4 linked regions of the Sus scrofa genome follow. The protein of the gene in region 1 interacts with the protein of each later gene in a biochemical or structural test. Links are inferred from orthologs where the notes say so. Each region holds a gene or a part of one and is shown on either strand. Other genes may lie near its edges. The genes, in order: DDX58, RNF135, RNF125 and TRIM25.

The links.
Region 2: of the proteins of DDX58 (region 1) and RNF135, one has a biochemical effect on the other in vitro, tested with the Homo sapiens proteins (6 studies listed by BioGRID, with this or other methods). The link is inferred for Sus scrofa from reciprocal best matches to the Homo sapiens genes RIGI and RNF135.
Region 3: of the proteins of DDX58 (region 1) and RNF125, one has a biochemical effect on the other in vitro, tested with the Homo sapiens proteins (3 studies listed by BioGRID and IntAct, with this or other methods). The link is inferred for Sus scrofa from reciprocal best matches to the Homo sapiens genes RIGI and RNF125.
Region 4: of the proteins of DDX58 (region 1) and TRIM25, one has a biochemical effect on the other in vitro, tested with the Homo sapiens proteins (5 studies listed by BioGRID, with this or other methods). The link is inferred for Sus scrofa from reciprocal best matches to the Homo sapiens genes RIGI and TRIM25.

The regions. Positions count from the first base shown.
Region 1 is NC_010452.4:33,888,630-33,896,819, reverse strand, and holds the start of DDX58 (probable ATP-dependent RNA helicase DDX58), read right to left. Parts: upstream 5,091-8,190; 5' UTR 5,010-5,090; coding exon 4,904-5,009; intron 1-4,903.
Region 2 is NC_010454.4:42,800,633-42,808,155, forward strand, and holds part of RNF135 (E3 ubiquitin-protein ligase RNF135), read right to left. Parts: intron 3,743-7,523; coding exon 3,599-3,742; intron 138-3,598; coding exon 1-137.
Region 3 is NC_010448.4:115,855,040-115,863,181, forward strand, and holds the start of RNF125 (E3 ubiquitin-protein ligase RNF125), read left to right. Parts: upstream 1-2,657; 5' UTR 2,658-3,021; coding exon 3,022-3,185; intron 3,186-3,254; exon of another isoform or gene 3,255-3,497; coding exon of another isoform or gene 3,498-3,613; intron 3,614-8,142. UniProt on the Homo sapiens protein: E3 ubiquitin-protein ligase that mediates ubiquitination and subsequent proteasomal degradation of target proteins, such as RIGI, MAVS/IPS1, IFIH1/MDA5, JAK1 and p53/TP53.
Region 4 is NC_010454.4:33,208,087-33,216,350, reverse strand, and holds the start of TRIM25 (E3 ubiquitin/ISG15 ligase TRIM25), read left to right. Parts: upstream 1-3,910; 5' UTR 3,911-4,011; coding exon 4,012-4,614; intron 4,615-8,264.

The sequences.
Region 1 (8,190 bases):
AGAAAGCAAAAGGAACTAAAGAGAAACACAGTGAGGCCAGGTAGCAGAAGACTACCCACCAACCAACTGATGGTCACATTGACTTTAAACTAACTCCATGTCTGGGGTGATGACCAAATTGCTGCCTTTGTATGATTTTACATTTGATAATCTTCCAATTTTTCTCCCTGTCAATGGAATGGAAACTCCAGGGGAGTAAGTCAGTTGTCTGGCTGGTTAACCTCCATATTCTCAGAGATTAGAAGAGGATCTACCATTTAATATACATAGACTCAACAAAAGTATGTGAATGAATGAAAGGAAGGAAGGAATGCCTTCCTTCCCTGCCAAGGTCTCTGTCTCGGCAACAACAAAACAAACTCTTTCAAAGTGTAAAATTCAGGAGTTCCCCTCGTGGCTCAGCAGAAATGAATATGACTAGCATCCATCAGGACGCAGGTTCTATCCCTGGCCTTGCTCAGTGGGTTGGGGATCCAGCGTTGCCATGAGCTGTGGCTTGGATACCATGTTGCTGTGGCTATGGTGTAGGCCAGCAGCTACAGCTCCGATTTGCCCCCGAGCCTGGGAACCTCCATATCCCTCTAGTGCTGCCCTAAAAATATAAAAAATAAAAATAAAAATAAATAAAGTGTAAAATTCAATGGTTTTTAGAGTCGTAAATCTATCACAACTATCTGATTTTACTGCATTTTCATTACTGTAAAAAGAAATCTTGTATGCACTAACCCTTACTCCCCATTTTCCCTCCCCTTAGCCCAGGCAACCATTAATTTACTGAGTCTCTATGGATTTGCCTATTTTGGACATTTCATATGAATGGAATCGTATAGCATATGTTCTGTGTGACTGGGGTCTTTCACTTAGCACAGTTTTCAAGGTGCATGCATACTGTGTCATGTATCATTCAATCCTTTTTAATGCTGAATAATACTCCACCGTATGGATACACCAATTCTATCCATTCATCAGTTAAGAAGCATTTATGTTGTTTCTACAGCTTGTCTTTTATGAATAGTAATGCTATGAACATTCATGTACAAGTTTTTGAGTGGATATGTATTCATTGTTTTTGAGTATACATCTAGGACTGCTGGTTCCTATGGCAACTCCACATTTAGCACTGTAAGGAATTGCCAAACCATTGTTCAAAGGAGCTTTACCATTTTACCAGCGATTTATGAGGATTCCAATTTCTGCATATCCTTGCCAACACTTTTCATTGTCTGCCTATTTATTTATTTATTGCTTTTTAGGGCCACACCTGTAGCATATGGACGTTCCCAGGCTAGGGGTCGAATTGCAGCTACAGTTGTTGGCCTACGCCACAGCCACAGCAATGAGGGATCCGAGCTGTGTCTGAACCTACACCACAGCTCACAGCAATGCTGGATCCTTAACCCACTGAGTGAGGCCAGGGATCAAACCTGCATCCTCATGAGTACTAGTCGGGTTTGTAACCCACTGGGCCACATCAGGAACTCCCCTGTCTTTTTAATTTCCACCACCTATATTAGTTTCCTGTGTCTGCAGTAACAAATTGCCATAAACTGGGTGGCTAAAACAACAGTATTCTCTCAGTTCTGGAGGCTAGAGTCTGAAACCAAGGTTCTGGCAGGGCCACACTTCCTCTGAAAGCTCTAGAGGACCATATATAGTCCTTGCCCCTCCCAGCTCCTGGTAGCTGTTGGCATTCCTTGGCTTGTGGCTGTATCACTCCAATCTCTGCCTCTGTCTTCACATGGCCTTCTCTTTGTTTCTCTGTGTCTGCACATGGCAGTCTTGGTATGAAGACACCAGTCCCATTTGATCAGGAACACAGCCTACTCCAGTATGACCTCATCTTAACTAATTACCTCTGTAAAAATCCTTTTTCCAAATAAGGTCACATTCTGAGCCCTGGAGTTAGGACCTCAATATATCTTTTGGGGAGGAGGGAACAATTCAATCCATAACTGTAACCTATGTTGTCACCTATCCCGGCTTCCTTGGGCACACAATCCTACCCTGTTCCTTTGAGTGAGTTAATTCTATTCCTAAACCCAGTCCTTACAGCTGGGTTCTTGTTTCCAGGCATCCCTGCTACTTACCAGCTATTACTGGTTCTCCACATGGAGGTCTAGGTTGGTCCAGTCACAGCTGAGACTTTCCCAGGTAAGATGCCTCACCATACCCTGGTCCGTTTAGTTTCACTCTGCACATGGTTGGGCCAAGCCTGCTGCTACCTGGCCCCTATATCTGCTGCTACTAGGTTGTGCTACTTTCCTCAAAAGCACCGAGAGTTGAATGCTTGGGAACTGGCATTTGGGGCAGTCAGTATCTCCCACTCCTTTTGCCTTCCTGGCCACTCTGTGATGCCATCCTCAGCTTCCCAAGACAGAATTTATTGATCTCTTTCCTGCGCTTTCTTGCTGTCTTTCCATGCTTCTGATTGGAGTGCTAACACTGAATAGTGTAGAGTCCTCATCGAGCAGGGAGGGGGGAGGCATCCTCTCCCTTAGAGGGTGACTGTGAGCATGTTGTACTCATCTTTCTCTTCACATCATCAACAAAGTACCTGCCTCATGCATGTGTCTAGAATATGTTGCTGAGAGAATGGACAAGTGCTTAGAATACTGCCCACCAGTGCCCCTGCTGGATAAGAGTTAGGCTTGACTCCAAAGGGATGTTGCAAAAAATCTGTAACCCATACCCAGGTTTACCTTGAAACATCCTGGATAACTGTGAATAAGCCAAGCCCGAGAGCACCCCAGTAACCAAGCAAGCGCTCCGGGAAAAACATGGCTGCAGTGCTCCTTTCCCAAGAGGCCACTCATGCACAATATCCAACATGTGGAGAGAGGAATCACAGTAAGACAGTGGATGTTGTTAATGTACTTTAAATATATGGGGGGGCGGTGTTCACGGGAAACTTCTGTATGGGCATAAAAGTTCCCACTGCCTTCTAACGAAAGCAAAAAAATAAGTCAAAAAGCTTCTATCCAGCCATAATGCTCCTTAGTGTCTCTGAACCCTGAATCCTCACTGAATCCTGACTGATAAAGTATATTTGTCACAAGTAAAGTTAAAACAGAAATCAGAACTTCTAAGGCAGCCAAGAAAAAAGCAGGAGATAGAGAAACTTTATCAATCTAATAGAAAACAGAGAAAGATGGGGAGAAAGCAAAAAGTTTTTGTGATAAATTATAAAGAAAGAAGCAGGAAAGGTGTAAACTAAATGAAAACAGTTGCCTCTGGGGAAGGGCTCAAAATAAAAACTCTATGATATCTTTGACATTCAAAAATAAGGCAGTATAGGAGTTCCCCTTATGGCACAGCAGAAACAAATCTAAGAACCATGAGGTTACCGTTTCAATCCCTGGCCTCCCTCAGTGGGTTAAGGATCTGGTGTTGCCGTGAGCTGCGGTGTTCAGATCTGGTGTTGCTGTGACTAAGGTGTAGGCCGGCAGGCAGCTGTAGCTCCAATTAGACTTCTAACCTGGGAACTTCCATATGCACATGTGCGGCCCTAAAACAAAACAAAACAATAAAAGAGTATACAAAATGTTCTTCAGCTTACTTTTTTTAAACTTACCTTTGGTGTTTTTATTGTGATTGTATTATAACTATAAATTAAAATTACTATCTCTGAAAAACTACTCCACCTATGCACTCCCATAGCACACTATGGTTTTCCATCAAAGCACTCACCACACTTTACTGATTTGGTTACATGCATTCACACATGCTCTCTGCTCTCTCTCAGGACAGGAACCATTTCTATAGATCCCTCAGTTCCCAACAGAACACTTCCTATTAGACAATATGTCTAGTAATATGTGTAAATTCCCTCCAAAGCTAGCCTAATACCTGACACATGAGTTCTGGCTTATTGAATCAATACACAAGTGCATGGGAAAAAGGAAATTAATATGATTATTAGGTGTCACTCATTCCAAGGATTTCTAAAAGAGATACAGAGGTCTTGTCCAACTTAGAGTCTTCAAGGACCCAAGCTCCTCTGTGGTTATTATGATGTTATTTTGTTACTTCTCTCTAAGCACAACTAGAAAGCAAGGGTGGGGTGGTGTGGAGGGGTCCATTTATGTTGGTGGCATTCTTTCACCTCTCACTCCACAGCCTGTGGTTTGGTTTTACACAGCAGTTAGCTCTCAAGTTACCTGCCTGCTTTAATGCAATTTCCAAAAATTGCCTCACTGCAGGAAAGCTCTGTAGGGGAGCCAGATCCCCTCTCTCACCTCGACTTCTTCCAGGCACCACTGTCTCCCTCTATTCCCCAAGCCCCTGCTCACCTCACCACCATGCACTTCTACACAAATTGGTAAAATGGCCATTCTCCATCATCATGGGCCCCATGAACTACATTCAACCTGAATCGAAGCCTGGAGCCTTTCACTCCAGGGAGTCTTGCTCCTCTCAAGCTTCCAGTTACTTGCAAGTGCAAATAAGGTCCCGCAGAGTAAGCCTCAACATCCTTGGCCTTCTGACTGCACTCTGTAATCACCGTCTCCCACCTCCAAATTCTGAGACTGTAAAGTATATTAAGGAAGGACTTGTATCTTATTTCTGAATCTTTGATGTCAGCACAAAGCCTAACACACGGTAAATGGAACTATTAGGAGAAACCAATAAAACGGACAGTGACTTGTTTCCCCAGCTTCTAATGTAAACAGTTGTGCACCCCTAAGCAAGTCATTTCATTTCGTTGAGACTCAGTTTCTTGACCTCGTCGGGCACCTCAAACTCCGACAATCTCGTCTAAAATGCTGTGGAGATGTTGCCACAAACCCGGCCTTCCTAGCAAGCTCCCAGTATTGAGTGAAAAAACAGGTGAAAGCAAGAGGGAAATAAGACCTGAACTGGGTTTTTTTGCTCCAAGGGCCAGGAGCGGCTGGGAAGCACTCACCGTCCCTAAACCAGGGGGCCATGTAGCTCAGGATGAAGGTGGGGTCGAGAGTCTTCCTGACATAGTCCCCGAAAGCGTGCAGATTCCGCCGCTGCTCTGCTGTCATACTGCCGGCTCAGCTTCTGGCCGCGCCTCGTCTGCGCCTGGCTGCACTAAAGCCCGGCGAGCCGGGAGTCTCCTAAAAAGCACCCCGCGCCGGGAGGCGGAGTAGCTGAAGAACCGAGAATCGAAACTGCGACGAGTTGGGAAAGGGCGGAACCGGCCCAACCCCCGAGCCCTCACTTTCCCAGCGCGGTTTCATTTCTTCTCGGATGCGTGGTTCCCCAACCGGCGGGCGCTCGCGGATCTAGAGCGCCCCAAGAGGACCCCTGGGGATTGCTTTTTGAGGTTCATCTTCTCTTCGTTTTGCTTTTACAGCGGTCGAGATACAGTAAAATGCACAGATTTTAAGCGTACAGTTCTGAGTTTTGGCAAATGTATGCGGTGTAACCACTTTTCCCAAGTTGTGTGGGTCGGAAGGGCAGAGTCTAACTTTACAGGAAGACGTCACCTTCCAAAATGGCCGTCCAGGGGCTCATTCCCACCTGGCGTGGGGTCGACAGGTGATGCACCTACAGGAAATACACACGTGGGACAGTTTGGTGTTTGTTTGTTGGATTTGGCTTGGAGTTTTGCCATATCTGCACTCCAAATATCTTCTCCCAGGCTGTGACTTATTTTCTTAAAAGTGTCTTTTGAGGGGTTCTCATCGTGGCTCAGTGGCTAACGAATCTGACTAGCATCCATGGGGACGCAGGTTCGATCCCTACCCTCGCTCAGTGGGTTAAGGATCCTGCCGTTTCCCTGAGCTGTGGTGTAGGTCACAGGCGCCGCTCGGATCCCCCGTCACTGTGGACGCAGCTACAGCTCAGATTGGACCCCTAGCCTGGGAGCCTCTATATACCACGGATGTGGCCATAAAAGGCCGGAAAAAAAAAAAAAAAAGTGCCCTTTGAGCACAAAGATATTTATCAGTTTCTCTTTTAAGTTTTATTTATTGCCTTGGTAAATCTTTGCCTTCTCTAAAGCCATAGAGATATTCTGTTTTCCTTTAGAATCTTTGTGTTTTTAGCTTTTACACTTAGGTTATGATATCTCAGATTAATCTCATTGTGGTGTGAGCTAAGTAAGGGTCAAGGCTTCTTTTTTTCCCATACTTCTAATTGTTCCCCACAAACTATTTCATTTGTTGAAAACGTTTCCTTCTCCAGTTGAATAATAGCCTTGGCACCTTTGTCAAAAAAAGTCAATTGCCTGTATATGTGCAGGCCTATTCTGTTCTACTTATCTATTTGCTAATACTGCTTTATTTTTTTGGGTAAATATTATATTGACTATTGTGGGGTCTTTGCATTTTACTATGAAATAATCAACCTGCCAATTCCTACCCCCCCCAAAAAAAAGCATATTGGATGAACCTGGGGTGATTTGACATTTTTAACAATATTTGAATCCATGAACAATTTTTCATTTATTTCAATCTTCTTTAATTTTCTCAGCAATATCTTATAGTAGTTAGAGTACAAATCTTATACATATCTGTTAAATTTATTCTTAACTATTTTATGTTCTTTGATGCTAATGTAAATTGAATTGTTTGAGGGGTTTTTTGGTTTTTTTTTTTAGGGCCACACCCACAGCATGTGGAAATTTCCAGACTAGGGGTCTAATCAGAGCTACAGCTGCCAGGCCCACACCACAGCCACAGCAACATGAGATCCCAGCCACATCTCCTCACACCACGGCTCACTGCAATGCTGGATCCTTAACCCACTGAGCGAGGCCAGGGATGGAACCCGAATTCTCATAGTTCTTAGTAGGTTCCTTAACGACTGAGCCATGAAAGGAACTCCCTAAATTGAATTGTTTTTAAAGTTTCATTTTCAGTGTTTGTTGCTAGTACATAGAAATAAAAGGGGTTTTTGTTTCTTGGCCTTGTATTACACAATTCACTTGGATTATGCAATTCATTGATTTACTTAGCTCTAGTAATTGTTCTGTATATCTCTTAAATTTTTCTAGGTAAACAATCATGTCACTTGTGAATACCTGGTTTTATTCTTTTCAAATCTTCATGCCTTTTATTTTGTTTCCCTTCCTTAAGGCAACACCTATGGTCTCCAATAGAAAGTTGAATAAAAGTGATGAGTTGATACCCTTACCTTATTACTAATCTCAGCAGGGAAACATTCTTTAATTACAAAATTTGTAACAGAGAAGAATAAACCTGATTCCATATTGAATATACTCCTTTAGCTCTAAACGTGTGCTCTGTTGCTTGTGCTCAGCCATGCTGGCTCTGCACCAAGAGCTCCTCATACTCAAAAGAATGTTGCCTCGAGCCTGAAATATACGGGATAGCTCATTCTCAAGGTTCTGACCTTCCAAGGTAAAAAACTTCCACTCATATAGAGATAAAAAGTTGCTGCAGAGAATATAACAATATTTGCCTTGGAGGTTTATAATAACACTCTGACCAGACCTACATGGATAGCTGCAAGAACAAAGGATTCCCGCCCCAAGAAGTTTGCAACAACCAGCTACATCTCTTCTCCATTTAGTATAAAAGAAGCCTGAATTCTGACTCAGGCAAGATGGTTCTTTGGGACACCACCATCTGCTCCTTCTGCTGGCTTTCCAAATAAAGTTGCTATTCCTTGCCCCCAACTCATCTATTTATTGGCCTGTTGTGCTGCAAGGAATATGAGCTTGGACTTGGTAAACAAGTTTGCTGTTAGTTTTCTTACATACCCATTATGATACTGATGTTTTCTTGTATTCCTAGTTTGCTTGGAGTTTTTATCATGAGTGGGTGTTGAATATCTCAGCTTTTTTTTTTTTAATATATTGAGGTAATAATATATTAACATATTTAATTTCATTGATTCATTTTTTAATATTAAACCAACCTAGAATTCTTGGGATCTGGTCATGATGTAGCACACTTTAAAATTTTTTTTTTTTTTTTGTCCTTTTAGAGCTGCACTCACAGCATCTGGAGGTTCCCAGGCTAGGGGTCTAATTGGAGCTATAGCCGCAGGCCTACGCCACAGCCACAGCAATGTCAGATGCGAGCCGTGTCTGTGAACTACACCACAGTGCACAGCAACGCTGGATCCTTAACCCACTAAGCGAGGCCAGGGATCAAACCCAAAACCTCATGGTTCCTAGTCGGATTTGTTTCTGCTGTGCCACGACAGGAACTCCTTAAAAATATATTTCTGATTTAATAAGCTAATGTTTTGTAT
Region 2 (7,523 bases), on another chromosome or scaffold:
TTCCAGGTGAAATTTTCTTGTAACTTTCCCTGGATCTTTTTAAGGTCATGGAGAATGTCTCTCATTTTTGCCTCAGGTGTGTTGGAAGTCACCAGTTTTGGAGACGCCAAGGAAAGGTCTACGCCATCGGACAAGGCCTATTGATGAGTCATGAAAAACAAGACAAAACTGGAGTTTCCATCATGGCTCAGAGGTTAGTGATCCCGACTAGCATCCATGAGGACGAGGGTTCGATCCCTGGCCTCGCTCAGTGGGTTAAGGATCCGGTGTTGCCGTGAGTGTGGTGTAGGTCACGGACACGGCTCGGATTCCGTGTTGCTGTGGCTGTGGAAAACAACCTCCCAAGGAATGCTTCAAATATATTCCAGTTCTGCCATCTATCTCTAAGTTTCTACTTACTTCCTAAGTAAGTTTGGGTTTTTCCAAATCTAATTAGGTTCTCAAAATACGTGCCTTGAAAAACAACCTGGAAAAATACATACTGGAGCCAAGATATTAAAGAATGGCTATTTCTGGGTGGTGGGCTATAGACAATTTTTATTTGTTTTCTTAAACTGCTATGTATTTTCTAGTATCTTCTACAACAGATATGAATTTCTCCATTCATATCCCAAAAAAGTTTAAACTTTTTAGGTGCGACTTTTTCATCCTTTTGTTTGTTTGTTTGTTTGGTAGCACCCATGGCCTGGAATCAAACCCATGCCATAGCAGCGACCCAAGCTGCAGTGACAATACCAGATCTTCAACCTACTGAGCCCAAAGGAAGTCCTAGACCTGTCTTACAGGGGCTTTACAAAATAAGTAGTACAGATGGCCACTAAGATAAGCCTCAGAGGCCAAAATAATCTTCCCTGGACTGCTGCTGTCATTATATGATAACTCTTCCCAAGGGCCAACACAGACATGTTGCCTGCAACCAGGCCCCGATCTCTGGGGCCTCCAACACGATGCACTCCCTGAGTTTCTTTCTTTCTTTCTTTCTTTTTTTTTTAATGGCCACACCTGTAGCTTATGGAAGTTCCCAGGCCACAGCCGCAGCTGCACTGGATCTGAGCCACACCTGTGACTTACACCACAGCTTGCAGCAACACTGGGTACTTAATCCACTGAGTGAAGCTGGAGATCGAACCCACATCCTCACCGACATCATGTTAGGTTCTTAACCGGCTGAGCCCCAGTGGGAACTCCTCCCTGCTTTTTCTTTAACTTCAGGTTCTATGATTCCCCAGCACAGCCCCTCACCTGCTCACCACCTTCCCGCCTTGCGCATGAGACTTTCTTTCTCAACTTTGCAAAATCCATTTCCCTGAGGCATAAGGAGATTCCCAGGCTAGGGGTCGAATCAGAGCTGTAGCCGCTGGCCTACACCACAGCCACAGTAATACCAGATCTGAGCCGTGTCTGCGACCTACATCACAGCTCATAGCAACCCACTGAGGGAAGGCCAAGGATTGAACCTGCCACCTCTTGGTTCCTAGTCAGATTCGTTTCTACTGGGCCATGACAGGAGCTCCCCGTTTCCCATTCTTTTCACCAATCATAACAAGCATAGGCATCGTCTCTTGAGTATTTTCCACTGCTCCCCTCTAATTTGCCTAACAGCCTTCCAAGATAGGTTCACTGTCTCCACTTTACAAAAGAAGTTCATGGAAGTTAACTAAATTGCCAAAGTGAATTTGATCATCCCTCATTCCCATGTTGCTCAAGTACTTTTTTAAACAAGATTTTTAAAAATCTCTGCATCAAACTAATGAGGTGCTGGCCATGGATCATTGTTTTTGTTTTATAGGTAGAAACCTGAGACTTGGGAGTTCCCTGGTGGCTCAGCAGGCTAAGGATCCAGTATTGTCACTGCTGTGGTTTGGGTTGCTGCTGTGACACAGGTTCAGTCCCTGGCCTGGGGACTTGTGTATGCTGTGAGAAAGAAGGAAGGAAGGAAAGAAAGAAAGGAGGGAGGAGGGAGGGGAGGAAGGAGGGGAGGAAGGAGGGGAGGGGAGGAGGAAGAAAGAAACCTGAGACTCAAAAAGATGAAATGACTTGCCCAAGGTCATACCACGAGTGAGCTGCAAAGTCACAACTGACAGTCAGACTCTCAGACCTCTACCACAACACCTTGTATCCCTAAGGACCCGTTTATTCACTCATTCAAATATCGTGGGTATTTGCTGAGCACTTACTATGTGCCAAGCACTGTGCTGGGCTTGGGAAAACAAGGGCGAACGAAAAAATAAGTGCCATCAAGGTCTCTACCCTCATAAAGCTTAAAGTCCCATGCAAGGGAGGAAGGATGAAAGACATTAATAAATTATGACACCAGAGTTCCCATCATGGCTCAGTGGTTAACGAACCCGACTAGCATCCAGGAGGACATGGGTTCAAACGCTGGCCTCGCACAGTGGGTTGAGGATCTGGTGTTGCCATGAACTGTGGTGTAGGTCCAAGATGCAGCTCAGATCTGGCGTTGCTGTGGCTGTGGTGTAGGCTGGCGGCTACAGCTCCAATTCAGCCCCTAGCCTGGGAACCTCCATATGCCACCAGTGCGGCCCTAAAAGACAAAAAGACCAAAAAATAAAAATAAGAATAAAATAAATTATGACACCAATCATTCATTATCAAGTCACAACTGTGACAGATGAAAGGTCCATGGAATCACATACATAAGAGCCTCTAATGGGGGATTTGACTTGTTCAAGGAATCAGTGAAGGCATCTCCTAAGAATTGATAATTTAGCTGAGGTCCAAATATGGAGCAGGCATTACCTACGTAAGAGCGTAAAAGAAAAGCATTCCCAGAGCGCCCGTTGTGGTGCAGTGGAAACAATCTGACTAGGAACCAGGAGGTTGCAGGTCTAATCCCTGGCCTCGCTCAGTGGGTTAAGGGTCTGGCGTGGCCATGAGCCGTGGTGTAGGTTGCAGACGTGGATCTGGCATTGCCGTGGCTGTGACGCAGGCCAGCAGCTGCAGCTCCGATTTGACCCCTAGCCTGGGAACTTCCATCTGCCGCGAGTGTGGCCCTAAAAAAAAAAAATTGTGGGGATAAAGAAAAGAATGGAGTTGCGAAAAGAAGCAGGCTCACAGATATAGAGAACGAACTAGTGGTTACCAGTGGGGAGAGGGGAGTGGAAGGTACAAGCCACCGAGAGTGAGAAAGGCTGTTCCCCATCCTTGTACAACATGAAGAGTATAGCCAGTATTTTGTAATAACTATAGATGGAGTATAACCTTTTACAATTACGCAAAAACATAAACAAAAATTTTTTTAAAGAAAGCAGCTGTGGTGGACTATGTCACAGTCTATTGAAAGGCCAATGAGGATAAGAGCTGGAATGTCCGGGGGATTTGCATGGAGGTCACTGGAGACCTTAGAGCTGGTTAAGGTGGCAAGATAAGGATGGGACTTGGCCCTCCTGGCATTCCCCTAGCTCTCCTCAAGCATTCCACATCCCCAACCATCCACGTTCCCATGAAGAGCATGGCAAACGTTTGGGACTCACTGCATCCTTCACCTGCAAACATTTCTGTTGCTCCCTAGCCATGCCAGCGGGCTGTCCTTGGCCCCGCCCCCTGGGCCATTCTTTCTTCTCCCAGATGAGCCTACCGAAGCCAGGGTCCTCAGGTCCTTGTCTGGTTCGGATTCTGGGAGGCAGCTCTGGCTCTGAAGGCTCCTGACAGTATCTACAAGCTGGTCCACCAGCTCTGCCAGCTCCCGGCCAACTTCTGTGATGCTCTTCTGCGCCGCCACCTTTAAAAGAGCAAAGCAGAATAGATGCAAACTATTGCCTTTGGTGTGGATAAGCAATGAGATCCTGCTGTATAGCCCAGGGAACTATATCTAGTCCCTTATGATGAAGCATGATGGAAGATGATGTAAGAAAAAAGAATGTATACATATGTGTGACTGGGTCACTTTGCAGTACAGGAGAAATTGACAGAACACTGTAAACCAAATCTAATGGAAAAAATAAAAATCCTTAAACATAGAACAAAGCAGAACACAAAGCTGGACTCAGGAACCAACTATAGATGGAGGGAGCTACAACACTGGATAAAGGAAGCAGACAAAGAAGTAACAAAAATGGGGAGTGGGGTGGGAGTGAGGCATGAGGGGAAGCCTAGGGGTCCTTTTGAACAGGAGGAGACAGAGAGGAACCACTGCGAGAGCCCAGCGACTCGGCAGCACGTGTGGCAGGTCATCAGGTGAGTGGGTTTCAGCATCTGGTTAAAGTTTAAGCTCCGCCCTCACCTCTGACTCATCCCGTGTCTTCATCGTGCCTTTCAGAACTGAACGCCACCATCCCTCCTTCTCTTCGACAGTGAGAAGGATCTATGGGGAAGGATCTTGGAGCCTTTAAAGTGAAGTACAGCTGCAAGCTCTTCGTGTTTGTTTATTGCCATCCTTCACATTTAAAGAGACGTTCAGATGGGAACGCTCAGCGACACCCATTCAAGAGCTTAATCTGCTCAGCTGCCTGGGGGGAGTGGGAGGACGTTTCGTGGCCAACATAGTCTGGCAACAAGCTCAGGACCTGGTGACAGTCATCAGAGGCAGGCAGGGCCCAAGAATTTGTATTACCTCCAAAGGGGGTCTGATGTAGAGCCACCCAACTCTAAATAAACCGGAGTTTTGATAACTTTGGGAGGACATTTTTTAAATTATGCTGGAACCTGGAAAACTGGAACCAGAACCTTTTTCATCTCTAAGAAGCACCAATGTCCCTCAAAATGGCATGTGTTTTGGAAGCCACATGCATACTATTTTATAGAGGGAGGTGGCTAACTACCAGTAATGAGGTTTGCTGTTAAATGTCCACGTCTCCTAAATATTCAGGCAGTTGGAACTCAGGAGTGGAGCCCTTATCTAGGTACACGAGCAAATTAAAATTTAAAAAAAAAAAAAAGTGTGTTGCTTTCTCTATCCGTAAAAGAAAGGGCACACTCATTGAGGTGAATTTAGAAAATGCAGAGAATGTGAAAGAATAAATTTTGTTTGTCTGTTTGTTTTGCTTTTTAGGGCCGCACCCGTGGCATATGGAGGTTCCCAGGCTAGGTGTCCAATCAGAGCTACAGCTGCCAGCCTACCCCACAGCTCACAGCAATGCCAGATCCTTAACCCACTGAGCAAGGCCAGGGATTGAACCCACAACCTCATGGCTCCCAGTTGGATTCATTTCTGCTGTGCCACAATGGGAACTTCAGAAGAAATGTTTTAAATCATCCAATGTCCTACCATCCATAGACAATCATTTTAACTTAAAAGCCAATTGAAAGTATATTCAATCATTATAAACTACATTAGTAAGAATTTTAAGGACCTGAGGGACAATACTATATTTATAATCAAAAAGAAAAGAACAGTTTTATTCATAACTAAAAAATAAATAAAACAGAAGCAACCAACGTGTCTATCAAAAGGTGAATGAATAAGCTATGGTAAATCTATGCAATGGAATATTTTACAGCAATAAAAAGAAATGAGCGATCAAGCCCCAAACCTTAATTGTGATTAGTGAAAGAAGCCAACCTGCAAAAACTAGATCCTTTATGATTCCAATGATGACAGTCCGGAAAAGGCAAAACTAAAGAGATATCATAAAAAATCAGTGAACGCCAGGGGTTGGGGTGGAGGATACACAGAGCATAGGGGATTTTCAAGGCAGTACAACTGTGTGATACTATAATTGTAGATATATGACTCCATGCACTGAGTCAAACCCCATAGGCCTGTTCAATGAATGTACCAAACTAATGCAAAATATTAATAATAAGGGAAAATGTCAGGAGTATGAGGGGACTTTCTGCTCAATTTTCTGAAAATCTAGAACTGCCTCTTTTTTTTTTTTTTTTTTTTTTTTTTGCTTTTTAAGGCCATGGCATATGGAAGTTCCCAGGCTAGGAGTCAAACGGGAGCTACAGCTGCCAGCCTGCTCCACAGCCACAGCAACTTTCAGGGATCTGAACCACATCTACAACCAACACTACAGCTCATGCCAATGCTGGATCCTTAACCCACTGAGCAAGACCAGGGATTGAACATGCATCTTCTTGGATACTAGTCAGATTTGTTCCCACTGCGACACAACAGGAAATCCCTAGAACTGCTTTAAAAAATAAAGTCTAGGTGTTCCCGTCATGGCACAGCAGAAACGAATCTGACTAGGAACCACGAGGTTGTGGGTTCGATCCCTGGCCTTGCTCAGGGGGTTAAGGATCTGGCGTTGCCATGAGCTGTGGTGTAGGTCAAAGACTCGGCTCAGATCTGGCATTACTGTGGCTCTGGCGTAGGCTGGTGGCTACAGCTCCAATTCGACCCCTAGTCTGGGAACCTCCATATGCCGTGGGAGCGGCCCAAGAGATAGCAAAAAAAAAAAAAAGACAAATAAATAAATAAAATAACATCTATTAATTTTTGAAAAAGAGGAGTGGGCAGCTCTAAGCTCTTTTACCCTGACTCCCCACTAATCCCCACTCCTCCACCCCCCTACACACACACACACACACACACACACACACACTGCAAAACAAGCAGAAACTGTCAGAACCAACTCTGTTGGAACTCTGGAAAACACTTAACCAACAAAGAGCAATCTGGTAGGAGGAACGCTTTGCAGTGTTTTGACACGCCTTTGCCGTGCTCTGTCCCTAGTTCAATGAAAGTTCTCAGTGAAATCCCAGTCCTGGTTCTCAGAGCGGGAGAGTCTACTTTTATTTTATTCACACATCATTGTGTAGGTTTGTCCTAACCTGGCTGGGGACTACCTGAAGCAAGGACACAGGGTGCTCACCTTTGTTTTACTTAACTTGGAGCTGGGACAGAAAGGGGGCGGGCATTCCTCAAGTGCTGCAAGCTGAGCTAAACTTGGAGGTGTCTGGGACAAAAGACTTGACTGAAACAGACAACAGACCTAAGCCCTAGAAGCAAACAGGCCAGGAGCAAGCAGACCTTAGTCCCAGGAGCAAAAGTTAGGGAAAATTGGAATCCTCCCACTTTGATAATGGGAATGCCAATTGCTGTTGTTGCCTGGGATGCAGTTTGGCTGTTCGCCAATAAGTTAAACATAGAATTACCATACGACCTAGCAATTCCATTCCTACCCAAAAGAACTGAAAATAGGAACTGGGATACTTGTGCACCAATGTTCACTGCCACATCACCAACAATAACCTGAAGGTAAAAACAATCCGAATGTCCACTGATGCAGAGTGGATTTTTTAAAATGTGGTATAATTATACAAGGGAATTATTCTTCAGCCACAAAAAGGAACGAAGTTCAGATCTATGCTACGACGTAAATGAATCTTGAAAACATAACCGCACGTGAAAGAAGCCAAAGCCAGAAACAAAGGGACAAATACGGCACGATTCCACTTGTACCAAATACCTAGAGTAGGCAAATTCATAGACACAGATTGTAGATTAGAGGTTACCAGGGCCTGAAGGGAAAGAGAGTGAGAAGTTATTGCTTTATGGGGGCAGAGTTTCTGTTTGTGGTGATGTAAGTTTTGGAACTAGAAAGTGGTGGTAG
Region 3 (8,142 bases), on another chromosome or scaffold:
TTAGGCAGATTATGGTGCCATTTACTAAGACAGGAATAAACAACTGGATGTGGAACAGGTGGGAAGTTACTCTCATGAGTACAGCATTGGGCATGTTCAACTGAAGGTGCCTGAAGCAACCAGGTGATTATATCAAGTAAGAAGCTGAGCATTTGGATGTCTAGAGAAAAGATAAAGATTTTGGAATCTAGATGGTAACAGAGTCTGTGTGATTTTTGAGATTCTTAAGCAGGGAATGAGTGATCAGAAGGAAAAAGGTCCCAAGAGAGAATCCCATGATCTCCAGCACTTAGCTTTTTCATGGAACAGAGGAGGCCAGTGAAGGAGACTGAGAAAGAACAGCCAGAAAGAGTGAAGAAGAGCCAAATCATGTTTCTACAAGAGGGAGTGGTCAACACCGATGCATATAATTGAGAGGTTGAGCAAGAAAGGGACAAAAAAGAGCCTGTAGGATTTAGCCACATAAAGGTCACCCACTGGTGATGTTGGTGATCAGTTTTTGGACAGATGAAGGTAGAGTGGTCACTCCAGAACACAGGATGGACTGCATAAGGAAGGAGGGGGGTAATTAAGAAATGAAGACATAGGAGTTTCCACTCTGGCACAGTAGGTTAAGAATCCAGCTGCAGCAGCTCAGGTCACTGCAGTGGCTTAGATTCAATTCCCAGCCCAGTGCAGTGGGTTAAACCAGCCAGTGTTGCTACAAGGTAGGTCACAGCTACGGCTTGGATTCCAATCCCTGGCCCAGGGAACTTCCATATGCATTGGGTGTGGCCATAAAAAAAAAAAAAAAAAAAGAAAGAAAGAAAGAAAAGAAAGAAAAAAAGAAAACATAAAAGGAGAGAATCAGGTCAAGAAATTTGGCCTTAGGAGTTCCCATAATGGCTCAGTGGTAACGAATCCGACTAGTATCCATGAGGACTTGGGTTTGATCCCGGCCTTACTCAGTGGGTTAAGGATCCGGTATTGCCATGAGCTTCGGTGTAGGTCACAGACATAGCTCGGGATTCCGTGCGGCTGTGGTGGAGGCTGGCAGCTACAGTTCTAATTTGACCCCTAGCCAAGGACCCTCCATATGCTGTGGGTACAGCCCTAAAAAGACGAAAAAGAAATTTGGCCTTAAAGAAGACACAGAGCAAGACCTGAGGGAAATGTGGGATTAAGGGAGGGATTTTGCTTATCTTTTACAGATAGGAATTGCTATCTTTCCTTCACTCCTATCCAATTTATCAGCAAGCCATTTTAAGTCTTCTTCTTAATATACCCCAAAACCTGTCTATCTTTCTTGTGCTACCCAGGTAACTCCCTGGTTCTGGTCATTATTATCCTCCCTTGGACTAATTCAGTAGCCTCCTAACTGGTTTCTCTGCTTCCATTCTTGTTCCTGTCTTTTCCAAACCACACTGCAGTCAGAGTAAATCAAATCACAGCACCTGGAATAAAACCCAAATTCTTGGTCCTACCCTGTGTAGGATTGGGGGGTAGATTAGGCCCCGTCTCTGCTTCTTTCTGGCTTTTGTTAGTGGTGTTCTTGCCTGGCTCCATATTCCAATGCTTGGCAGGCTTCTTCCTAAATCTATGAGTGGCCGACTCCTTTTCATTATTCATAACTCTGCTAAAATGTCACTGCATCCAAAAAGCCTTCCCTGACAGTCTTATCCTTTACCCCCCTCACTCTGTTTTATCTTCTTGGCTCTTATCATCTGAAATGAACTTGTTCACTTGTTTATTTGTTGATTACTGATATCTTTTCATTAAAAGTAAAGTCTGGGAAAAACTGGGTGAAGTTTATCGGATTGTTATGTATTATGGTCTGTGTATATTGCCTACGTAGATTATGTATTACCACGGACGATTATTATTATTATTATTGTCTTTTGCGAGCTGCACCCGCAGCATATGGAGATTCCCAGGGCTAGGGGTCTAATTGGAATTGTAGCCACCCGCCTAAGCCACAGCAACGCCACATCCGAGCCGCCGCCGCTGCGATCTACACCACAGCTCACGGCAACGCCGGATTTTTAACTCTCTGAGCGAGGCCGGGGATGGAAGCCGCAACCTCATGGTTCCTAGTGGAATTCGCTTCCGCTGAGCCACGACGGGAACTCCAGATTATTTTTTACAATAAGAGTGTGAATCTATAATTACCTCCAAAAAAAATCTTTTTAAGGTCTGTTAAGACTGGGCTTTTGTTTGCTTGTTGGAAACTGTCCACTTCACCAGAAAGGAGTCTGGCATACAGCGGGCACTAAATAAGTCTTATTAAATGAGTGAATTAATAAATGATATATTTGGTCGTATTCAGGAGGATGGAGAGGGGAATACAAACAACATCAGGCGATCCTAAGGTGAGGAAACTGGGCCGGGGGCGGGAGTAGGAGGGGTCCTAGGATTTGGCACTAGCATCCCTGCCCTGGGGTTGGGATTCGAGTCCAGGTCCCAGAACTCTCTCCACTACTGCAGCTACCTCTCCTTTATGGATTGTTCATTAGGTGACTGAAGCACTGATGAGCACTTTCTTAGAAGACGCTCATAGCTCAGCTCTGTAGCCTCTTATGATCACAACAGTACAGCACTGATAGGGCCATCACCTTACAAGTGGATGTGCTCTGATTCCCTGCGCACATGACCACGCCCGCTCTTTCATTCACTTCCTACAGTGGTTCGAAGAAGGATGCGCGCACTTGGCTGGAAGGTTCACTGCCTTACCAGGTCCTCTGCTCTGCAGTTGAGGTGTCAGGTTTCAATCCTCCCAGGGGCCCGGGACGTCGCAGCGTGCAATGTGCGGCGGCCGCCTCCGCCTCCACGCCTCAACTAAGGCAGCTGGCAAAAGCTAGTCTCAGACGCGCGGCCGCGCACTCGGCGCCGCGGCGGAGGCTGCTTCTGAGCTGCACTGGCTGGGCGCGCTGGGAGGCGGCGATCGCAGCTGGGCCGGGACTTCCTTCCTCCACCGCTGGACAACAAAACAAGCAGGCAGCAGGCACCAAGCTCTTGGCCGCTGGCTGGGCGGGAGGCGCAGCAATGGGGTCGGTGCTGAGCAGCGACAACGGAAAATCCGCGCCCGCCTCGGCCACCCCACGGGCCCTGGAGCGCAGGGGGGACCCCGCGCTGCCCGTCACGTCCTTCGACTGCTCCGTATGCCTCGAAGTGTTGCACCATCCCGTCCGGACCCGCTGTGGCCACGTGTAAGTGCCAGGGAATCTGGGTTGGCACGCCCATCCCTTGGGGAGAGCGATGTTAGGGAAGCGGTGGGATGGGAGGGAGGAAGGGTGGTTCCAGAATACAAAGCTTGAAGGAAACTGCTGCAGGAAGAGACCTGGACCCGTCGGATGCGGTTCATGGGATAAGGCAGAAGGTGACACAGGGTTTCAGGAGGAGAAAACAGCAACAGGCAGCCCCCTAGAGCCGGCTCCTCCTGAAGTCCAGGTGCGGAGACCCCGAGATGGGGAATCCGGGCGCGCGAGCCGCGGGGAGCCAGGGCTCGCCTGCCGCGGAGGATGAGCTTGCTGGAGAAGCAGCACCCTCCTGGGCCCAAGGCGGAGGACTCCCTCAGAGCAGTTATCGCGCTCAACTCAGTTAATCCGAGGTTCTTCCTTCTCCGCCCAGAACCCAGGTTGGTTTTGTTTTGCGGGCTCTGTGCACGTGTTCCAGAACGCCCGCTGAGGTCTCATGAGAAAAAAAGGGGGGGGGGGCCTCTGTCCTTCCTTCCCCACCTCCCTTTTCCCAACTCAGACACCCAAATCCCTCAAAAATCATCAAACTGGACCGTCCAAGTGACTTTCTGTAGTGGTTAGAGCTTAACAGCCCTCCAGGGTGGGGTCTGGGGCTTGAACCTTACCCCTCAAACCGGGGAATGGAGCCGTTTAAAACCCAAGTAACCAAGTGGCGGAGGTTGCAACAGACTACCTGCCTTGCGCACCGCCTCCCACATCGGTAGGAAGTAGAGATAAAAATAACTGTCTTAAAAACCACATGCATACTCTTTAACTAAAATTCGCTGTTAGTGCACAACCGTGGTAGTTTCTAGGAAGAGTTTAAAAACAAAATCCCTGTGTAAAATTGGCACGTCCTTAATGTGTTAATGTGTGCCTGAATAAATACTAGTGGGAGTTGGGTCTGTGAATTTGTGTGTGCCTGAATGTGTGAGGGTGACTTGTGGGGGGAGGGATTGCGTAGAGCAAAAGTGAAAACTTACCCAATGTCTTCTTTGGCCCGCGGACTAGTTTGGTGACGCTCCAAGGCAGTATCCTAATGCTAATAAGCACTTTTTGGCTTACCAGGAAAAAAAGAAGTATCATATTATAAATGCAAGTGCACAAAATATCTTTAAGGGATCTAGGTGGTCCTTGACACCTATAGCCTAAGCAACTGAGAAGCAGTTTTTAACACTGAAAAGCCCAGAAGAAAGCCAGAGAGAAAAAAATCTGCAGCCCACACAATGTTTAAAGAAAGAGTACCCTGAGCATTATTTTGTGGCTGTATTTTCAGGGCCTGTTGTTTCAGCTTTGTACTTTAAACTCAAGACTAATTTACCTCCTGTCTGATTACTGATGTTGCCCAGCTGTCCAGATGTAGCTCATTGACATAATTCCCCAAGGCCAAGACAGGAAGCCAAGATGTCATTGTGTAGGGTATGAAATACATTGATTAGCTCAGGTCAGAAAGAACCTCAGGATAACTACATTTAAATTTAGTCTAGATTAGTGTTAAAACTTTTAAGTTGTACCAGAGACAATTGGGTAGCTTTGCAACTGGAGATTGTTATCTGATTGTTTTCCCTGGTTTGGATTTTGAATGCTTATAACTTGTTTGCATTGTTTTGCTTCTGCTAAAGGGTAATATAAATTTGCAAAATGTTAAATCTTTTGTTTGGTCTTTTTCTTTGTTAGAATGAATAGGAAACTAGCAACTGGAAAAATAGTCATGAAGTAGCAAGCACAACAAGGGCTGGATAAATTGCCTTCCCTCACTTTACTGTTCTTTGTTTTGACAAATCTATGTCCATTGTTCTGGCCGTAGGCAGGATTTCCATATTCCTCCTTTTGGCAAACTTACTTGGGCCCCTTCCACTTTACAAATGTTAACTAGAGTCCCTTCTGCACTGGAGATAGTGGGCTCTCTTTAACACCATTTGTCCTTCCTAAATGAATTACTTTCTTCCACTGAACTTAATTGGAAAATGAGGAAATGCAAATGAACCTCTGTGTTATCTCATATATAAGCTAATTATAAACCTATTCAAGTCAAGCAAGTGTAATGGCCACGGTACCTTGAATGAATATGTATATATGGATTGCGATGTAGTAAATCAGCGGGCGTGATAGAGAGCAAAGTCTGAAAATCAACCCCACCACTAACTAGCTGTGTAACCACCACATTGCTTGGTCTTTTTGAATCTCAGTTTCTTTATTTGTAAAATAAGGTGGGTAATGGAATTTTTATGAATACTTAAAACGCCTATAGTAAGACTCAAAACATAGTCTCTGTCTCCATCAAAGTCTTTTCCTAAAACAAGGAAACCCATGAATCGATATTATTTCTTATCTTTTTGTTCTTTTGGGAATAAAACTGGGCCAAAACCAGAGATCTCTGACATTTCCAAGATGTCCCTCATAGCCTTACTTTTAGCTTGGTTCTTTTTTCCTTTAGTGGACTTGAGGAAGTTCCATTTTAATGTTCCATCATTTCAAACTGACGTTATTCTCATCGCATATCAGTTGTAAAACTAGATTTGGGGGGCAGCAGTCTTATCAGTGAGCTGGGGAAAGAGGGGGTAGATGAGTTGAAACTGTCTAAATAAAACTTAAAGGAAATCTGATTTACATTTGAAAGAAATGTTTAAAGAAATTCGGTGTCCAATTGGTAGATGCAGAGGTAGAAAAAAGTCAAAGACTGAGCCAAAGGGGGCAGAGTTTAGCTCAGGATTCCTAAATCATTAATGAACTCAACAATTAAGCGTATTGAATGTACAGAAGTCTGATAGGGAGACATCTAAATGGAAGTACCCCCAAGGCACTGGGAAAGTGGGATGGGGAAGGAGGTCAGGACTAGAACTAAGGGAGTTTCTGAAAAGGGTCAAGAGGTTGAGAATGGGCCTAAGAGAGCTCCGTACAAACTGGAGCAAACCATTCTGTACAGAGAACCACATCTCCATTGAACTGAGTTGGGTCGAGTTGCTCGAAGTCACAGAATTTGCCTAATATTTTAAATGAAACGAGGATAATTCTGAAATGCTTTTGGGTAAATGGATTAAAATGTTCCATTTGTGGCCAAGTATGAGGACCAAATTAGTAGTTCTCTAAGTAGAGTCTGAAGGTTTCCTGATGCTTTTAAACTGATCCAGTAATACACATCAGTGCTTTCATTCTTTTTTTTTTTTTTTTTTTTTTTTGTCTTTTTGCCTTTTCTAGGCCCCCTCCCATGGCATATGGAGATTCCCAGGCTAGGGGTCCAATCAGAACTGTAGCCACTGGCCTACGCCAGAGCCACCGCAACTCGGGATCCGAGCTGTGTCTGCAACCTACACACCACAGCTCACGACAAGGCTGGATCCTTAACCCACTGAGTAAGGCCAGGGATCAAACTCGCAACCTCATGGTTCCTAGTCCAATTCGTTAACCACTGTGCCATGACAGGAACTCCTACAGCATTATATTTGTTTCATGTGTGTAACATATGGTAAATATTTTGGTAAATCTTGCAAAATGATCACCAACAGTCTAGTTAACATTGGTCAGAATACATGGTTACAAAATTTTTCTTTCTCTCTCCTTTTTTTTTTTTTTTTTGGCCATTTCTGCAGTATGCAGAAGTTCCTGGGCCAGGGATCGAACCCCTGGCCACAGCTGTCACCAGAACCACATCAGTGACAATGCCAGATCCTTAACCCACTGAGCCACAAGAGAATTATGCAAAATTTTTGTTTCTTGTGATCATAACTTTTAAGATCTACTCTCTTCAGTGTCTTCCAAATAAGCAATACAGTATTATTAACTGTAGTCACCGTGCTGTATATTACATCCCATGACTTATTTATTTTATAACTTAAAGTTTGTGCCTTTGGACCCCTTTCACTCATTTTATTTCCAGCACCCACAGAGCTGTCATTCTTATGGATGTGCAATCCCAAAGACTTCTTTTTAAACCTAAGATTAAAGCTTCTTATCCTATTATTTATTATAGATATTTATTACTTATACATATTCTATCAGTGAGAGTTATCCAGAGAAATAACCCATATGTAGGTTATACATATTTATGGAGAGAGAGAGAGAAAGAAAAAGAGAGATTGATTTTAAGGAGTTGATTTACATTATTGAGGATAGCCTCTCTAAAATCAACTGATTATAGATGTTAACAACAGCTACAAAAATACCTTCACAGAAACACTTAAATGTTGGATTAAACAACGGAGAACTATAGGCCAGCTAAGTTGATACATAAGACTAACCATCACAGCTTTTCAATGAGTTTTTAAGGGTTGTTAAAATCTGGTGATCAAAAACAAAAATTAGATCATTATCAGGGGTTAGTAGAAGACTCCTCTGAATTCTCCCAAAAAAATTTGGCTATCAGGCAACCATGCACATGCCTACACATTGCTCAAGCACATGATAGGAATCCTGGTAGGAATCCACAGTTTCCTTTAAATTAAAATCACTATTCATTTAGCTTCATCATTACCATTTTGGTTTGCTGTGGGTTGTTTGGTTAGATCTACTATTGCATGGGGTGCATTCATTTTTGATCAGGTGTAGATGCAGGTGGTTGAATTGAAGTAGTGGGAGTTTGTAGTTTCCCATCTGATTACAAATTATCATTGATGTAATATCTGACATGTGATTTGATTTTTTTGTTGAAGTATATAGTTGCTGTACAATATTATATAATTTACAGGTATACAACATAGTGGTTCACAATTTTTTAAAGGTTATACTCCATTTATAGGTCTTATAGGAGTTCCTGTTGTGGCTCAGTGTTTAAAGAATCCGACTAGCATCCGTGAGGACAAGGGTTCGATCCCTGGCCCCACTTAGTTGGTTAAGGATCCAGCATTGCCATGAGCTTGTAGGTCACAGATGCAGCTTGGATCCCGTGTTGCTGTGGCTGAGGTGTAGGCCAGTGGCTACAGCTCCGATTAGA
Region 4 (8,264 bases), on another chromosome or scaffold:
AACCCACATCCTCAGGGATACTAGTCAGGTTCTTAACCTGCTAAGCCACAATAGGAACTCAAAGAGGTGGTAAATGAAGTTGTTTTTTTTTTTGCTTTTGTGAATGAAGTTTAAATGTAATAAGAGTCTCCTATTTTATATATTCATTCTAAATACATTGTGGTAAATTAAGGATGCATTTTATAATCCCTAGAACAACCATCAGAAATATAATAAAAAGAAGTATGGGCACATGGCCCATAAGAGGAAATGAAAATGAAATGTATAGCCTACCTGATTAGTCCAAAGGAAGACTGGAAAAGAGGGACATAGGAACAAAAATCAAAGAGACAATGAAAGAAAAAACAGATAGAGTTTTATTAGGCCTAAAATTTATATGTTGAATACAAATGGACTAAACAGGAGTTCCCGTCGTGGCGCAGTGGTTAGCGAATCCGACTAGGAACCATGAGGTTGTGGGTTTGATCTCTGGCCTTGCTCAGGGGTGAAGAATCTGGCATGGCCGTGAGCTGTGGTGTGGGTCGCAGATGTGGCTCGGATCCTGCGTTGCTGTGGCTCTGGTGTAGGCTGGCAGCTACAGCTCTGATTCGACCCCTAGCCTGGGAACCTCCATATGCCGTGGGAGCAGCCCAAGAAATGGCAAAAAGACAAAAAAAAAAAAAAAAAGAAAAAGAAACCACCAAAAAACAAAAAACAAAAAAAAAACAAATGGACTAAACACTCTAATTAAAAGGCTAAGATTGTTAGACTGAATAAAAAAGCAAGACCCAACCATGTTCAGTCTAGAAGAGACACATTTTAAAAATAAAGACACGGAGAAATAGAAAATTAACAGTATAGGAAGCTAGATCATGCAAACCATAAAAAAATTAGTGTGACCATATTGCTACAGGACAAAGTAGTTTTTTTTTTTTTTTTTTTTTGTCTTTTGTCTTTTGTTGTTGTTGCTATCTCTTGGGCCGCTTCCGAGGCATATGGAGGTTCCCACGCTAGGGGTTGAATCGGAGCTGTAGCCACCGGCCTACGCCAGAGCCACAGCAACGCAAGATCCGAGCCGCGTCTGCAACCTACACCACAGCTCACGGCAACGCCGGATCGTTAACCCACTGAGCAAGGGCAGGGACTGAACCCGCAACCTCATGGTTCCTAGTCGGATTCGTTAACCACTGCGCCACGATGGGAACTCCCCACAAAGTAGATTTTAAGTGAAAGATTATTGTGAGAGATAAGGGGCGACTTTTAATAAGAAATATATCAAATCTGTGATGTGTGTGTACTTGTATTAATTTCCTAGGGTTGGAGTTCCCATCGCAGCTCAGTGGTTAATGAATCCAACTAGGAACCATGACGTTGCGGGTTCGATCCCTGGCCTTGCTCAGTGGGTTAAGGATCTGGCATTGCTGTGAGCTGTGGTATGGATTGCAGACTCGCCTCGGATCCCTCGTTACTGTGGCTGGGGTGTAGGCCAGGGGCTACAGCTCCGATTTGACCCCTAGCCTGGGAACCTCCATATGCTGAGGGAGCGGCCCAAGAAATGGCAAAAAGATAAAATAAATAAATAAATAAATAAATAAATAATTTCCTAGGGTTGCTATAACAAAGCACCACAAACAAGGAGACTTAAAACAGAAATTTATTCTCTCACAGTTCTAGAGGCTAAAAGTCTGAAATCAAGGTGTCAGAGGGCCATGCTTCCTCTGGGACCTGCAGGAAAATCTTTCTTGCTTTTTCCTTGCTGCATCCAGCGCTGCAGGGAAACGGGGAATCCTGGAAGAGAAGAGGGACAGCGTGATATAAACAGAACACACAAGACTCTTACATTTAGAAAGTGGGGGACCAGGGGGCACTCCGTTCCGTAGAACAGAGGCGCCTAGGCTTTAGCCCACATGATTTTTATTAAGGAAGGTGATGAGATTATTATTATTAAGGGGATTAAGAAAGGTGACAAGATTAGTGGGCAGAGAGAGGCATTGGCAATAACGAGATTCTCATCTTAGTAATAGCAAAGGGGGTAGCCTTAGGACATAGTGGAGCTGTTTATAGAATAACATGGTTAATGCATAAGTCCTTCACCTTGTCTTTGAAGGAGACTCTGTACTTAAAACTCTGAGTCCATAGATATTTGCCTTCTGCAGAGTTCTGCTGTTCCGTGGTCTCCAACATTTCCCAGCTTATAATGATTTTCCAGTGATCTTTGGTGTCCCTTGGCTTGCAGCTACAGCTCTGCCTTCGGTGTCATCTGTGTTTGTCTCCAGATGGCATTTTCCATCTTAATTGATTACAACAGCAAAACTATTTTCAAATAGGGTCATATTTACAGATACCAGGGGTTAGGACTTGAACATATATTTTGGGAGGATACAATTCAGGGCATAATAGTGCCTAATAACAAAGCTTATAATACTTGGGGAGGGGGCACAAATACAAAGTGAGAAGGAGACAAGCTGTTATCATATCGGAGATATTAACATCCTGTCAGTCTCAACCTATTTCAAAAGACAAACATCTTAGGTCGTAGAGCTGGCTCAAATAGAATTGTGTTAGAAATCAGTAACAGTAAGATACCCAGGAAAGTGTTAAATATTTGGAAATGAAGCCATCTCCTTATAAGTAATTACAAATAAATAACAAAGGAAATTAGAAAATATTTTGAGTGGGAGTTCCCGTCGTGGCACAGTGGTTAACAAACCCGACTAGGAACCATGAGGTTGAGGGTTCGATCCCTGGCTTTGCTCAGTGGGTTAAGGATCCAGCCTTGCCGTGAGCTGTGGTGTAGGTTGCAGACGCGTCTCGGATCCCGCGTTGCTGTGGCTCTGGCGGAGGCAGAGGCTACGGCTCCGATTCGACCCCTAGCCTGGGTGGGAATCTCCACATGCCTCGGGAGCAGCCCTAGAAAAGGCAAAAAAAAAAAAAAAAAAAAAAAAAAAAATATTTTGAGTGAAATGATAATGAAAACACATATATCAAAACTTGTGGATGGAGTTCCTGGGTGGTGCAGCAGGGTAAAGATCTGGCGTTGTCAGAGCTGTGGTGCAGATTCAGTCCCTGGCGCTGTAACTTCTGCAGGCCAAGGGAGATTGACAATCTAGATTTATAGTTGTAAACATTTATATTAGAAAAGAAAAAAGTTTAACAGCAGCGATCCAATGTGCCAACTTAACGAATTTGAAAAAGAGCAAATTAAACCAAAAGTAAATAGAAGGAAATAAGAGACATGAGAAGAAATCAATGAAAAAAAGAGCAGAGAAGCCAAAAGTTGGATTTTTGGAAAAAATTAATAAAATCCATAAAATCTATTAGATGGCTTAAGAAAAGAAGGGAAACCCAGATTACTTAGATCAGGAATGAGAGAGCGGTGATTACTACAGATTCTACTGACATTACCCCCGGGTGTGACCCTGCCTGCAGAGATTGAAGGCCGATATGCCAGAGCCCAGGACCAGGGAAGAGGAAGGATGGGGTTTTTTTAAATAAGAAAAGGCAGCGAATACTTTACTGTTCCCACAGTTATTTTTGAAAGACCTGTCTTGATGAGACAGCCTTGCTCGCGGGGGCGGTGGGACAACTTGGGTCTGGACGAGTTTTCGGAAGGAACGGATCAGATCCAGGCGCGTTTGTGCTGTAGTCAGTCCCCTGACTGCTGGGATCCCGGGTTCTCCACGCAACGTGTCAGTTTTCTCATCCGCAGAGGGGCCGTAAGATCCCCCCTGGTGGTCCAGAGTCTCGTCTGAAACCCTGAGCCCAGCGCCCCGTACCCACACTCCGCGGGAGCCACCGGGATTCGAACGTCGCCAGTCGGACCTCAGCGACCCCTGGACCCCGCCCGCCCCGGGACCCCATGGGGCCCGTTCCACCTCCGCGCTCAACCCCACCCTACCCCACGTGACTTCCTGAAAGGCCGGGGGACCGCCCCTCCTGCAGCTCAGTTTCGTTTCCTTGGAGGCATCGGGGCGATAGCGCAGCAGTCGCGGCAGTTCCCGCGCGTCACGTCGGGTCCCCTCACGGAGCGCCATGGCGGAACTGTGCCCCCTGGCCGAGGAGCTGTCATGCTCCATCTGCCTGGAGCCCTTCAAGGTGCCGGTCACCACGCCGTGCGGCCACAACTTCTGCGGGTTGTGCCTGGATGAGACGTGGGCCGTCCAGGGCCCGCCGTACCTGTGCCCGCAGTGTCGCACGGGCTACGAGACGCGGCCGCAGCTGCGCAAGAACACCGTTTTGTGCGCGGTGGTGGAGCAGTTCCTGCAGGCCGAGCAAGCCCGGCCCGCGGTCCTCGACAGCGATGGCTGGACGCCGCCCGCCCGCGCCGCCGCCTCCAGCCCGGCCGGCCAAGTGGCCTGTGACCACTGCCTACAGGCGACCGCCGTCAAGACTTGTCTCGTGTGCATGGCCTCCTTCTGCCAGGAACACCTGAGGCCGCACCTCGACAGCCCCGCCTTCCGGGACCACCCGCTGCAGCCGCCAGTCCGAGACCTGATGCGCCGCAAGTGCCCCCAGCACAACCGGCTTCGAGACTTCTTCTGCCCTGAGCACAGCGAGTGCATCTGCCACGTCTGCCTGGTGGAGCACAAGACCTGCTCGCCTGCACCCCTGAGCCAGGCCAGCACCGACCTGGAGGTAGGAGTGGTGGCCCAGGGCACAGAGGGGCAGCCTGGGGCTACTGGGTTGTGCAGAGGGCACCACAGTGGGCTACCTTGGATCACCCCGGGGCGAGGGAGGGGCCTTGCTGGGCCTGAGATGGGGCAGGGGCTTGGGGGTTTCAGGGTAGAAAGGGGCTGGGAGAAGGTACAAACTTCCTCTCATTCCGGGTTCACCTCCCCTATGCCCACCCCACTCACCCATTTTACAAAGGGAACCACTGAAGACTCATGCTTGCCTTAAGCCTAGCACTTGTCTGATGATGTTTAGAAGAGGGTTTTGAAGGTCAGATATAGTGCTGGAGGTTACCTCTGTTCTCTCAATAAATCCTGATAGCACCTGGGAGGTGGGTACCATGAGTTCCATTTTACAGCTGAGGAAGTGGAGGTTCAGAGAAGGTCATTTAGCCTGAGCTAACCCAAGTGGCCAAGGGGGAATTGAGCTGCCATCTGGGCTGCCTCCACAGTTGCCTTTTCTCCCCATGGACCAGCCTCAAAACCAAGTCCGCAACATTCAGAGTGTGAGACACTTCTGGAGGTTTGTTGGGGGTCATGTGCGAAAAAGCCTTTGGTGAGCCAGAGACTTCTAGTGACCAGGGAGGATCGTGTTGAGTGGAAGGGTGGGCAGCGTCCCAGGAATTCTTGGATATGATGCACAGGGAGAGCCAGACTCTTGCGCCATAGAGCCCTCTCTCCTGCCTGGCCACTTTTCAGTCCGGGATTGGTCTTCATTCCTAAAGCGAGGAGGTGGGGCCAGGTGGATTCTTAAGAGGGCTTTTGGATCTGTGATGCTTTCAGTGGTTTTGGGATCATAATTTCTCCCTGTGGACTCAAGGCAGAGGCTGAAAAGGTGTAGGCAAAGTTTTGTTATCTAAGCTCAAAAGTGAGGCCTGATTTCCTTTCTCTCATGAGGACTTGTTAAGGGGAGCAAGAAGGGCTGTCCTTATGCTGGCAAAGGAGATATAAGCCCTGTGGCACCAGGACCTGGGTGCAGGCCTTGCTCCCAACTGGCCACAGCCCACCCCTGGCCTGGTCTGCTTCTCCAGTCTGCCCTGGGTTCCTGTGGACTTTCTCCCTGAGTCCCAGGAACCAGGCCTCAGGCAGTGCCTGGCCGGTGACTTTGGAGGTACAGTCATCTCAGGTCTGGCCCACCCAGGTCTCCACCTGCTGCAGGGAAGACCCTGGCTGGTCTTTGGAGCCTGGAGCCCTGCTCTGCCCTGCTAGCGGTGGTTCAGGGCAAGTCCCTGTCGTTCTCTGAGCCTCAGTTTCTTCATCTGTAAAATGGGATTCCTAGCATTCCCTCCCCTGTTTTGGGTCGTCTTGAGCTGTGTGGGAAGTGCTTTGTAGGCAGGCCCTACGGGTCAGGCTGCTTAACATGGGCTGTGACCAGAGCTGGATGTTGAGACCTGGGTTTGGATTCTGGCTCTGCTTCCTAGCTGGGAACTCATAAAAGGGGCCAATAGCAATACCTATCTCAGAAGGCTACCGGGAGGATTGAATGAGGCGACCCATAAGCTGCGTTTTACAGTGAATGCTTTGTAGAGCTGCCGTTATCGTTTAAGCTGCTCAGAAATGCCCGGAAGAGAGTTTGCTGTGTGGACGGTGTCAGGCTGCCTGGATCCTCTTTGCCTCAGGGTGTGTGAGCCTGAGTTCTAGGGCAACCCGGCTCCTGTGGAGTGGCCTTCTAGGAAGTTCCGGTCATGGCTTAGCAGTAACGAATCCAGCTAGTATCCATGAGGACATGGGTTCGATCCCTGGCCTTACTCAGTGGGTTAAAGATCTGGCGTTGCCATGAGCTGTGGGGTAGGTCGCAGATGTGGCTCGGATCTGGCATTGCTGTGGCTGTGGTGCAGGCCAGCAGCTACAGCTCCAATTAGACCCCCAGCCTGAGAACTTCCGTATGCTCCTGGTGTGGCCCTAAAAAAAAAAAAAGAAGAGCCCTTCTAGAAGTTTTTGTCTAGGAGGCAGAAGGCAAGTAGGGGCAGAAAGGCCCTTCTCAGCCTGGTGTGGAGCCTCAGCTTCCTCAGCCTGCAGGGTCTGGAGCTGGAGTCTGTCACTGGATTATTTGTGTGCCCTACACGCTTGGCTTTTTAATCCTTGTCACAGGCCTTCCTCTGCCACCCGCCCCCTCCCCCCACCTCCACTACCTCCCAGTGTCCTAGCTGGCTGTGACCTTTAACCCTCTCCTTTTCCAGCCCTACTGCTGGTCCGTACTGGTGGTGGAGCCAAAGCCGGCCCAGCTTGGCTCAGTCACTGGTGCGGGGTGGACTCGGGCCTCTGGGTCCCACATCGAGGCATCAAATCCCCAGTTTGTGAAGGGATCCTCAGAACTTCGAAAAATCCCCTTCCCTTGATTCGGGCATTGTCGCTGCTATCAACATCTTGGCGGCTTTCTTTTTGTCTATAGCCGTCTACCATCAGGGGACTGTTGTATACAGTTGATTAATGGTGGGCAAAATCTTTCAGAATAATAAGTTCAGGGTCTTGCTAACAGTGGGTCTTGGAGGTGAAACCGTTGGTAGCTCCCAGGTGTCCTGAGGTCTCTTCCAACTCCAAGACCAGTGAGACCAGATCTTCCTGGGCCTGACCTTTTTTTTTTAACGGCCACACCTGTGGTTTATGGAAGTTCCCAGGTATGGGTGGAAGCGGAGCTGCAGCTGCTGGCCTACGCCACAGCCATAGCCACACAGGATCCCAGCCATGTCTGCGACCTATACCACAGCTCATGGCAACACCGGATCCTTAACCCACTGAGCAAGGCCAGGGATCGAACCTGTGTCCTCTTGAATACCAGTGGGGTTCATTACCACGGCGCCACCATGGGAACTCCTGGGCCTGACCTTCTGCCTTTGGCCAATAGTTTATCTTGGCCACTGTTAGAGGCCAGGTCAAAGCACACTGTTACAGAGGTCACATCTGAAATGTCATCAGTGACTTGGGCTTTTGGGTTGAATTAGGTTGGCCTTGGTCTCTTCCAGCTGTTACATGTGACTGTCACTGGGTTGTTCAAGAGTCAAGGTCAGGTTCAGCCCTGCAGAGCTCTGGTGGAGTGGGAAAGGCCATGAAATGGAAGAGAGGGCCAGAGTATTGTTGAGCCAGCCTGTTAGGGAACATATATTTTTTTCCCTAGAAATTTCCCGTGTGCTTAGTTTGGACATGAGTCTGTAATTGTAACACCCATGAATCGCGATGTGACCTGGGGCAAGCCACTTAAATACTCTGTGCTTCAGTGATCATCTATAAAGGATGGATAACCCTTACCTCCTCGTGTTGTTTTTAGCTTTACATAGTTAATATGTGGAAAACCGAGAACAATGCCTGGCTTGGAGTAAGTACATGATAAACATTAGCTGCCATTATTGTGGTGGTGATTTTCCTACTCAGTTCTATGCCCCAACATTTTGCCTGAGAAGGGTGAAATTCAGATACTGATTATGGAAATTTATGGAAATACTAAGAGGCTTCAGATAGTATTAACTTCCATCTTGCATAATCTACCTTTGTATCTGAAGGTGGCTAGGGGCTTAGCAGCGATGCTGAATCCCCTTAATTCAGTTTCAGGGATTGAGCTGTTGGTGAGCCGGTCTTCTGCCGCTTCATCCTTATTCCTATGGTGTAGCCCTCCCTGCC